Schizosaccharomyces pombe: one gene and its partners. The protein of the gene in region 2 interacts with the protein of the main gene of each other region in a pairwise test. Each region holds a gene or a part of one and is shown on either strand. Other genes may lie near its edges. The genes, in order: ptp4, ima1 and SPOM_SPBC887.17.

Region 1 (3,619 bases), on a different chromosome or scaffold from region 2:
CTGGGTTTGGACTTTGCTTTAATTCATAAGAATCGCCGACATGAATACGGAACATCTTTGATGCTTGTTGGTGATGTACAAAACAAAGTCGCCATCCTCATCGACGATCTTATTGATACCGCTTACACACTAGTTCGAGCAGCAGAGTTTGTCAAAGAACATGGAGCTAGCAAAATCTATGCTCTCGTCACTCACTGTGTTTTATCAGGAGATGCTATTGAGCGTGTAAAACTTTCTTGCATTGACAAGCTTATTGTTACAAACACCGCTCCTCAAACTATTACACCAAGTGGATGTTTTGACATAATCGATGTCGCTCCTACCTTTGCGGAGGCAATTCGTCGCATACACAATGGTGAGAGTATTTCAATACTGTATGACCACAATCAAGTTTGGGTTTAACTGTACGTTGTTCATATTATTTAATTTGTTTTGATCTAGTTGGCTTAAGACTATCCGATTTTTTTTGATACTATCAATTGTCCTTTTTCTTTACTTTAACTTTAGACAGTTACATTGGAAATAATTATTATTTACTTTGAGTTGACAAAATGATTATCAAGCTAATTTCCTAAAACTAATTTCAACTTAGCTAATCTCTAGTGTAAAACTGCTAAATATAAGGTTCTTCACGACCATTATATATGTACAAGCTATGTAGAAACTATATAGGCAGTCTAATTGCACGATTTCGTCATGTTTCATACAAAAAGCCTAAAATTGTCTGGGTAATGAAGCTTGTAGGTATTTCTATACATTTTAACAGTATGTACGCATACTGGTTAGACGGAAAAAAGATGAACAATAGAAATGGTGATAAATGGAGGAGCGAATCAACAAAACATAACTATATTCAATAATTTTTCAAACGTGGTCGGGAAAGGACGAATGGAAAAAACAAAAGAATGTCAGTATAAAAGAACATGGTTATCACATGATTAAATATAGTAAACAGGCAGAAACGACAGGAATTACAAGGTTATCGTCAAGACCCCACACATCCATAGCTTCTGCAAAGGCACCAATAAATCCATTTATCAAGCAAAGCCAAGGGAAAGGAATTCTGCTTTGAGCGGCCAAGCTGTCAGGACCGGTACGAAACAAGCCCCAGTACACATAGCAACAAAAAACACCACAAACGAATGCGCCCAAACTTCCAGCCAAACTCTTATTTTTGGCAATTTTCGGGGTATACTTGCCCCATTTTCGACCAACGGTTGAGGCAGTAGTGTCACACCATGACAGTAAAAGGACACTCATTACTGCTATCTCCTGAACTTAGTTAGTAACTATGGCATAATATATAAGTAAAAGAAGAAGGAAGGTGAAGTTAGGAAAAGATCAAGCAAGGCAAAGTAGATTTGAGTAATCATGATCAAAAATACTAACTTAAACTCTATGCAACAACAATATGCTTGGTCTGACAAATACTTAGAATAGAAAATCATTCTCCGTGAAAAAATGGGTTCTATAGAGTAGTATGTCCAGTAAAAAACAAAACCCTTCGGATCGCCTGGAACAAGGAAAACCATATCTTCCTTTTTCTTAAAGAATAATAACAGTAATGATAGACATTACAATGACTTTTACTTACCTCTGGAAAAACTTTTAAAACAATCCATACCCCGATCATATAAAAAATAACACCATTCCATGCATTTTTTTCGGACTCTCGCATCAAAGGACCAATAACGCGATTGTAAAGGCGGCTGAAAGCTGGCCAGTTAAAACGAATTACATCTCCAGTAAATGCAGGTATGAATCCAATTTCTATAACCGGTATGATTTGAGCAGCGTGGTATCCACATCCCTGAAGTAATAGAGCAAAAAATCCTAGACCCGGTTAATCCAAGTCATAAAAACAACTTACCAATAGAAGTATGGAGTGCTTTACGGGGAATTTCATGCTTTTTGGACCATTGCGACCACGTCAATTTAGTCGACATTGGATGAGTATTCGCTCAGTAGTGTTTTCCAATCTAAAGGTATTTCTAATGGGTAAAAAAAAAATAGCGATACCGGCCGTGATGCAAGGAATCGGTATATGCGAGGCAAGGAATGTTCTCGCATATAGCTCACTATTTTTTTATCGTTGCACTATTCCTCCTTATTCCGTAAACATTATGAGCTAAAGTCAAAATTAATAGAATGAATGACTTCCTGAGAGTCCCAAAAGAAACCGATTTATTTCCTTCATCAGTTGGAAAAAATTTATTTATTTATCACTGCCAATATAAGAGCTCGACTTCCTAGATGAATAGCATAGCTTTGAAAGTGATTCGCAGGATGACTCAGTATCAAAACGAATGGGTTATACACTATATGGCTTTAGATGTAAATATTCTTTAGATGATATATTAAGAGAATTAATAACTGCATCGACATACAGCCAATGCAGAATCATTTATAAGTCACTGAACCTTCAGAATAGCGCAACGTGGATTTCGCTACTTTACGAAACTTTAGATGCTATTGTGAGCTCTTACGTTTCGCTTTTTGTTGTCAAATATGGGAGAATTAATTGAAAATATAAAGACAATTCTCAAGTACGCGAAAGTTTCTATTAAAAAGTAAAATGATAACTTGAATATGTATGCTAATAAAATTCCTAAAAGAAACTGAAACCATTTTAGAGCTTATATCATTGCCAAGCAATTTTGAAAATTAAATGCGAAAACCATTATTCTTTAGTTGATGAACTAGAAGTAATAATTTTTATTTAATAATAATAAGTCTGCTCAAAATCAGGTTTATTTTCAGTTATTGGTTAATTGTTCAAATTGAAGTTTTATTAAAAAAAAAAAAAAAAAAAAAAAAAAAAACTATTATAATTTATGTTAAGACTACGTAAGTTCCTTAGGGTACGCGATTTGGTCTAGCAATTTAAATAAATAATAATAATATCAATATAAAAAAACTAGAAGACTTAAAAGCTTTTATGTTCACACGTGCATCGAAAATTGATTAAGGAATTCAACACATTAAATATATAATATAATAATAACAAGGTCTATGATTTAAAAAAAAAGAAAAAGTAATAAGTTCCATTAATTTAGATATCATTAAACAAGTATGTTGTTTGAGCATATGCAGTCAGTCCTACCTTTCTTTAATTCCCTGATTTCAATAAATTACTGAGATGCAATTTGTCCTCCATATTGTCAATATTATATTAAAGAGGTATACCAAAAATCAATTTCTCACTATGAGCTCCAAGCTGACAGTGTATCAAGCGACTACATCCATGGCGGATTCTCCTAGGGATCCGTTCCAATCGCGTTCACAGTTGCCTAGATTTCTAGCAACAAGCGTTAAGAAACCAAATTTGAAGAAGCCTTCTGTTAATTCTGCTAATGGTATGTGAAACTTATATTTGACGTTTGTTTATGGATCTGACACCCTGTAGAAACAAAAAATCCCAAACTAGCTTCTTTAGAATTTCAACTAGAAAACCTAAAAAATGATTTAAAGCGGAAGGAACTGGAATTTGAGCGTGAACAAATTGAGTTGCAAAGAAAACTTGCAGAAGAACATGAACAGAAGAATTCGTTACAGCTGCGTCTAACTCTAGTTGAAAAGCAACTGGAGGAGCAGTCTACTTCTTATCAAAAAGAAATAG
Region 2 (3,757 bases):
AGCTATAGTTGCCGGTAGAAAAATGCATCGAAAGGCTTAATCCATCTACTCGATTCTTCTTTAAAAAAGCCCCTAATCGTTTCTGCACCAAAGGCATATCTACTTTGAACTCGTACACCTGTTCCTGCATCGGTGAATATTCAGAAGACACTTGCTCAACACTTTTGAGATATAGTTTATCCTGTCGACGCATAACAATATCCACTAACCCCCCTAAAAACGGATTCTTTATGAGACCTTTATTTCTCCCAGACACTACTACGATACCCAAGCTTTTACCTGTTAAATTCTCGATGGATAGATTACGATCCAACTTGGATAACCAATCCTGACTCGTAACATTAATATTCACATCGCCCGTAGCCTTAGCAGGACTGTTGTACTCGGCTTTGCGAGATTGATAGCCCGGATCCGATTTAAAAAACTGCTGGATTTTCCTTGTAGTCTTTCTCAAGAAAGAGTTTTCCTGACCTTCATCATCAACTTCTCTCAAAATATCCAAACCCGATTGATTAGATATCGACATATTGTCGAATGTCGGTAAAATACTTTGAAACTTTTAAAACTTCGAGAATCGTAGAAAAGAAGAAAAAGGATACCAATATCCAGAATCTCAAAACCACAGTGCGTCCAACTTAAAAATAAAAGGTAATGAAATGAAGTAAAAAAAAAAAATTATTAAAATTTGGTTCTTTCCAAAGGGCTTTGTTTCCTGTTAAATACTAAATATGAAATCGTTTATCTTAGCTTAGCCATTTTGCCATCTTCATCATGCTTTTCCTAACAACGCTCCCCAAGCCACGTAAAACATCAACTTTCGCAACTCGTCCTATTTCAAGTTTACGAAGACATCCAATTTCCTAATCGTCTCTACCCTATAATATTTTGTATAATCATGGTCTAAGCCATTTCATCGTAGCGATGAGCCTCTCGTAAGTTAATTAATGGCGCAGCATATCAATTTTAATCAACTTGTAATAGAATAGAGATGATCATGCTGTCTATTGCTTATAGTTACAAGACTAGATTTCCTTTCTCAACATGCAATAAGGATTGAAAAGTAAAAATGAACTACTTGTATGAAATTTTCGTTTTCGTGCTTAATTCATGATTATGACCTTTTGGAGTCAGTGACATACACCGTTTCCATTGACAGACATTATTGAATTTTTTTTTTACAATGGGGCAACAGTCAATGTTGGCGCAAGCTTAAGATGCAAATGCAATCTTTCATTTAAAAGCGGCTTGTTTCATCAATACATTTGACATTTAACGATGGCTTGTAGGCATTGTTGTAGACATCCACTCAGCCTACATTTTGTCAATACTTTTCTACACAACTTCTCAAACTCGTTCCTTTGTAGCTTAAAAATTAAGCGAACTTAAAAACTATTAAACTTTTTGTTAAACGAATTATTTGCATAAAATACCAAAAAGATTTTTTGTTGACTTTCACCTAACAAATTAAGAGCGGTTGGTTTTATTAAAAAGAAAATTTATTAAGATATTTCTCATTGCATTCCACTTCAATGCGTCGTAGAGCATATCATAAGTAAGGCTCTAAAAATAAGCCACAAACACTGATCGTTCTTCTGGTACAATGGTTCAAATTTTTTTTTTCTAGGAAGCTCGAAAAAGAAAATACAAACAAAAAAAAATTAAACAGCTCATTTCTTCAAAAACTCCTTTTATCCTCAATTTGTTTGAACTTTGTTCTGACAACCCGCTACGAATTGGCTTGGGACCCTGCTGACGGTCGGCCTTTTCCCTATTCTCACCACGAGCACCGTGGGGAAACTGTATAGTCGAAATCTTCGAGTTTTCTTGCTCAACATTTCAAGAAAACTTTTATACTATTCAAGTGTATCTAATTGTTACTTCACTCGTTATTTAGTACTTCTCTTTTACTTTGTCAAGCAGCACAAGTGTTTGATAAAGGTCATTCTGTATAAGGGGTCCTCTGTACCATTACACCTTGTACCTTGATATAAAAGATATTTACATGCATTTTATTTCCGTTAACTCACAGAATATCAGTTGTTTGGTTTTCTTCTTACGTGTGCTGGTTTGACTTGTTGTTTCCCTTTTTTTTTTTAAATTTGCACACACAGGATTCTATGAGAACTTTGCATTAAATGGTATAATGGGAAATGGAATCTAGCCGATTGTTTACACTTGGATTGGGAAATTCCGATGATGGATTGAAATCCACTTTTGGTGATAAAACAGTAACTTGTTTTTATTGCAACAAGAAGAAGGAAAAAATTAGAGACGGAACGTCTACTTGGACTTGCTCAATTTGTGAAGCCACCAACCATATTGATGAGAAAGGTGATATCCTGGATTATCGACCTCCAACCCCAACTCAAGACAAGGGTGTTGGTCCTTTTTACGCGATACGGGATTTCCCAAGCAGTTCTTCCTTTCAGAGCCCCTTTTGTGAAAAATGTCAAATGAACCAACTGATTGTGAATCGGATGCTTGCTGATTATCTGCCAGACTCATCACATCCAGATTATCAGGCTTATGAGAAGGCATTACCAGAGTATAAAAAATCTATAGAAGAGAAATTTCCCATTGTTTGCTCTGAATGCTATGACTCCGTTCAAGACCAACTTGATGCCAATGATTATGAAGCCAAAAATCAGGTTTTAGGATATTGGCTGCAAAAGTCAAAGGAACAGCTAAACGCAAAAGTCCCCCATCACTATCCAAAAGCTTCTTTTGTTCTTTGGTTACTTCGTGGATTTGGTTTTTCGTTTTTCTATTTGCAATCGATTGTGTGGCATTTGTATCATTCTATGATAATAAGCTTATTACCAGATGGTATTCGTAATTTATTTCTAAAAGCAATCTCTTACTTCCTATTAGATGGATCCTCTAGCAAAATTTTTTACTTTAATTGGCTTGGTTTTTTCGTTGTCTTTTGGAACCCGTATTGGTACAAAATGATGGACAATCCATCTTGGGAGCTTTTTGGGCGGGATCAGTATATCCAATGTCAGGCACTTTATCTTATTATCCGTTTAACTTGCTTGTATCTCCTTTCATGTTATGAGTCGGAAATTTTGAACTTAAGCTCGGATACCAATCTTGAAAGTGATTTTTTACTCCGTCAAATACATGCAGCCTTTTTCTTTGTTACCATTTGTTTTACATGGATTAGCATCTCATGTTTAAAGCCAAGTCCTCCTCCAGAAGTTCATTTGACTGGCGAAATTTTGAAACCACGCAAGAAGCGTCAGGAAAGTACATCTTCTGTGCATCGGATAGGAAAGGAATCGAGTGACAGAAAAGATGGAATTAGTGGGCAGAATAAATTGCAGCAATTTGCGACAATTTCAATTCTGAATAATACCAACGCAACGTCTCATTTGGGAAATCAGTCTGTTCGTGAGAGAGCTCCGGAGGAATCCCCTATGACTTTTCTTCAAAAAAAAATGGCCGCCCTTCCAACATCTAGTCCTGTTCGACCGATGCTTAAACCTACTCTTCAGCTTCAAAATTCTCCTTTATCGAAACTGGTTCCTCAAGAAGTGGGCAACAAAGTAAACGATTCTATTCATACGACGTCTAATCAGCCAAGTAAATTTTCCCTGAACCCTTCCATATCTCTAAAAGGTGATAACGTGATAGAGAAGAATTTACCTTTTTCCGTGTCTACTTTAAAGTCCACTGCAAAGAAAGATACTGGTAAAGCAGGGGATGGTCAAAATCGCGAAATTCAAAATGAGCCAGTGAGCCTTGAAAGTCATTT
Region 3 (3,757 bases), on a different chromosome or scaffold from region 2:
AGTGTACCAGTCATATCCATAATGTCAACGTACAGAAAAGTAATCAGTGCAATGGCAAATTGACCGCCTGTAACGTTCCACTGTTGGGCAACAAGAATACGGTTAATTTTTCGAAAGCTAACAACCTTTTTGAAAAAATCAAAATTATAATCCCCTGTAAGCGTGTGGGGAAACATAGTTACTAATGAGCGTCTAGGCCAACTTGTGATAGTGACAAGTGCGATTCCAGCAAGGACAGCACCTTTAAATTTGTACATCATTAAAATAGCAGTGAGAACACCGCCACAGAATATACCTACCCACATTCTTCCTGATTGTAATTGATGACCGTTGCAGCTATAATCAGCGTTTAGGTATTCTGGAGGGCATCCTCCTAAAGCGACAATATCAGATGAGGAATGCCCAATGACTCCTAACCCAGCACTTGGACTGAGTCCGATAATTGTGAGATACAAACCAATACCAGCACCAGTAGCAAATTTCAAAGAGGCAGGAATAACTCGCGCCAGCCATTGGCGTAGACCTATAACAGTTAAACCAGTAAAGATGAATCCTTCAACAAAAACAGCTAAAAGAGCTTCTCGATAGGAAACACGTCCAGTGCCATTATATCCGACAACTTGGTACGCAAAATAAGCATTTAAACCCATACCAGGGGCCATACCCACGGGCATATTGGCAAAAAGACCCATGCAGAAAGAAGCGAGAGCAGAAATGGCAGCGGTGGCTGTGACGAGATCACGATGAAAGTCTTCTTTGCAAAGTACATAGTCATCAAGTTTGTCACAATCATCACGATTAGCTTCAGTACATTCGCAAGTGCCGCCCGTATCTACGAGAATGGTAGCATTGACAGCCAAAATGTAAGCCATTGCAAAAAAGGTAGTAAGACCAGCACTAATTTCGAGAGAAAAGCGACTGCCTTTACGCTCCCGAGGATGACCACATCCCTCTAGACGAAACCAACGTCCGAATGCCGAACGAGCGACGATCACGTCGAACTCTTCGACCCAATTCCTTACTTTTTGTGTGATGCTCATCTTCTCGATAAACTAAGGAAAAAAAGAAAAGAGGATTGAAATATTAAAACAATAAAAACGAGAATACTTATAATATATGTATATATATTACACTAGGTATCCAAATAACCTGCCGAGGATAAATAAAACACAACAAATCAACGGAAAGATCCGTGTTAATGCTAAGCAAAAAGCCCTTTTCACAAAAATAGATTACTTATTAAAGATACAAATATTAGAGAAATCCCAAAACCCACAAGGAAAGAAACCGATTTTGCTTCCAAACCTCAAAAACAGTAAAAGCAATTTAAAAAACTTTTGATGAAATTGTAAACAAAGATCGAGATAAAAGCAATCTAATCTTTAAAGTTGTTTGATCAAAGCCGTTTTCTAAAATCCAGAACCTTTTCGACCTACCACTAATCTAAAAATTTTCTGCTAAGCGATGAATCTCGATCTCAACGTGAAGATTGAAAAAACTTTATAATCCTTATCAACTGGATGCAAACCTACACCTAATTAAGTACAACAGTGAGTTTTCAGTCCAGGACCTCTTTATTACTGCAAAGAAATAGAAATTGGTGTTTAGAAAAAAGTTTGTAAAAAATGCAAAGTGTCGCTGATGGACCCAAGGACTGTTAAATACTAGTCAAATTTGGGCGCTTATATTTAACAGCCAATAGCTGTGCTATCAGATACTGCGTCAATTTCGCTACTTCAAAAAATGAGATAAACTCAAAATTCCACTGCCAATAACCTACTCCAAAGATATAAAAAATTCTTAAAAGTAACAATGATAACATTAGTAGTATTCTTCACAAATAATCGACATGCGAAAATTGCAAGAATACAAATGTATTCTGAAAAATAAAATGAAATTAAGCAGCCAAAAAAGAAAGAAAAAATGAAGATTACTAAAACTATTTTTGAATTCTGTCTTTGCTAAAGTTATTGCTTCTCTTTCTACTACTTGCATTAGTAACAGGGGGGTTTCATGTAGATAACCCTCACATACTCTCTCACGTTGACGCTGAATGCTAGGAGCAAAAAAATTAATTAAACCCGTTTTAACGACTTTAACTTGAGCACACCACAGGACTTTGTAAGGATATTGTAAATTGGTCCGAGCCATGTTTAAGATATCACCTATACAAACATATTTATATCACATTTGTTCGTTTTTGCAATCGCTTATCAAAATTCATGCAATTATAAGATAATTAAAGTAAACGAAATCATTAAGGTAAGTGATTATAGATTTAATACTTGTGCTCGTTCGTTTGGTGAGTTTTCTCTGACGGTACAGATACAAGATTATTTTGACTTGAATACCCCCATTATTGAACCTTCATAGTAAAAAGAAAAACACATGTGGGGGACATATGCTGGTAGGTGCAGCTAATACTAAAAGTTAAAGTGGGGAAAAAGACCTTACTGGGGGTACATAAGTTTATATGCTATAGAAGGTTAGCAAATGATTTTAACTGTGGTATGAAATTAAAGTGGGATAAAAAGACTTCAGTGGGGGATTCAAGAATTCATTTAGGGAAATCCTTGAAGTATGAAAATTTGAAACGATATAGATACAAGTAAACTACGCATAATTCACAAGGCGGTATTCGAAAAATGAAATTCTTAAAAGACTATCAAGCGTTATTTTATTATATTATTATTTACTACTTTTTTTTTTGTACTAACAGCTTTACTATATCTTTTTCTTAATGCAGCTACCAGGATATTTGTACTGCAAAGCACCCGACTGTAATGTTCACTCTTAATACATTCATTAGTAGTTTTTCCAAATCCATATGTTTTTAGCCGGCTAAGGTATAATGTACTTTAAAAATCGCTGCTGATCTAGTCAAAAGTTTAATGGAAATCATCCACTGTATTACGAAACATATAGTATTTTTAACTGTGTCGCACTAATTAAACAAAGGTTGTAGCAGCTTTTAGGCAGCTGGGATGGATTTTTCAACCAAGATAACAAAACCGTCAATTATTAGACAGGAATCCAAAATTATTGATTCCTTTTTATTATTGCATTTTCAATTCCAAAACATGCAAAACAGAAGAGATGTCAATGGCATCCCGGTAAATAAAAGAGTCCTTTTTTTAGAGGGGATGGGGACCGGCATTTTACCAATTTGGTACAAATCAGTCAATCTAACTATTAAATGGATTTGCAAGTTAATTCATTGGATCCTATGAGTTTAAGGTATGCTACTCCTAGTGTGAATGGTATTCTATGTTGATTGTTTATAGCTTTTCTTTCTACGCATGCACATCTGTTATGAAAGCACAATCATATAAAATTACACGGAATCATTGTTTAGCAATAGCACGCTGACAATTTCACAGGTCGCTTCAGTGCTATTTTCTATTTACAAGCCGTGGTAGTTTAATTATCGACATTATGTTATTTTTTGTTGAAAATAGCAATATCAAGTGTCCTTCGTAGTCGCTTCATAAAAAGTCAATTCTCTTTGTACCGAAAATTAAAACCCATTCAATTGCTGTCTTTCGCTGAAATTGTTAAATTACTAACGACCTAGACGGATTCCAAACAAAAAACGGAAAACAAATTTTTTTTTTTTTGTCAAACGATTTTTTTTACTATCTGTGTTCAGCGGAATGTACAACTTTAACCCTTCCGATAGTTTAAAAAAATCCCAGTATCAAAGGGAGTAAAAAGTAACAAAAAGCTTCCGTTGAATGCTACGACTTGTAGCCACATT

Evidence for each region.
Region 1: the proteins of ima1 (region 2) and ptp4 interact in a protein complementation assay, tested with the Schizosaccharomyces pombe proteins (one large-scale study listed by BioGRID).
Region 3: the proteins of ima1 (region 2) and SPOM_SPBC887.17 interact in a protein complementation assay, tested with the Schizosaccharomyces pombe proteins (one large-scale study listed by BioGRID).

The regions. Positions count from the first base shown.
Region 1 is NC_003423.3:1,276,685-1,280,303, reverse strand, and holds ptp4 (phosphatidate cytidylyltransferase Ptp4), read right to left. Parts: upstream 1,960-3,619; 5' UTR 1,947-1,959; coding exon 1,871-1,946; intron 1,834-1,870; coding exon 1,595-1,833; intron 1,273-1,594; coding exon 931-1,272; 3' UTR 505-930; downstream 1-504. Other genes in the region: ribose-phosphate pyrophosphokinase Prs5, read left to right, coding at 1-402; mitotic spindle checkpoint protein Mad1, read left to right, coding at 3,245-3,356, 3,407-3,619. UniProt on the Schizosaccharomyces pombe protein: CTP-dependent diacylglycerol kinase that catalyzes the phosphorylation of diacylglycerol (DAG) to phosphatidate (PA). Controls phosphatidate levels at the nuclear envelope. Counteracts the activity of PA phosphatase ned1.
Region 2 is NC_003421.2:1,888,866-1,892,622, reverse strand, and holds the start of ima1 (inner nuclear membrane protein Ima1), read left to right. Parts: upstream 1-1,758; 5' UTR 1,759-2,150; coding exon 2,151-3,757. Other genes in the region: SPOM_SPCC737.04 (uncharacterized protein), read right to left, coding at 1-526. UniProt on the Schizosaccharomyces pombe protein: Inner nuclear membrane protein that specifically binds to heterochromatic regions and promotes the tethering of centromeric DNA to the SUN-KASH complex.
Region 3 is NC_003423.3:3,573,315-3,577,071, reverse strand, and holds the start of SPOM_SPBC887.17 (transmembrane transporter), read right to left. Parts: upstream 1,630-3,757; 5' UTR 1,041-1,629; coding exon 1-1,040. Other genes in the region: SPOM_SPBC887.16 (uncharacterized protein), read right to left, coding at 1,822-2,151.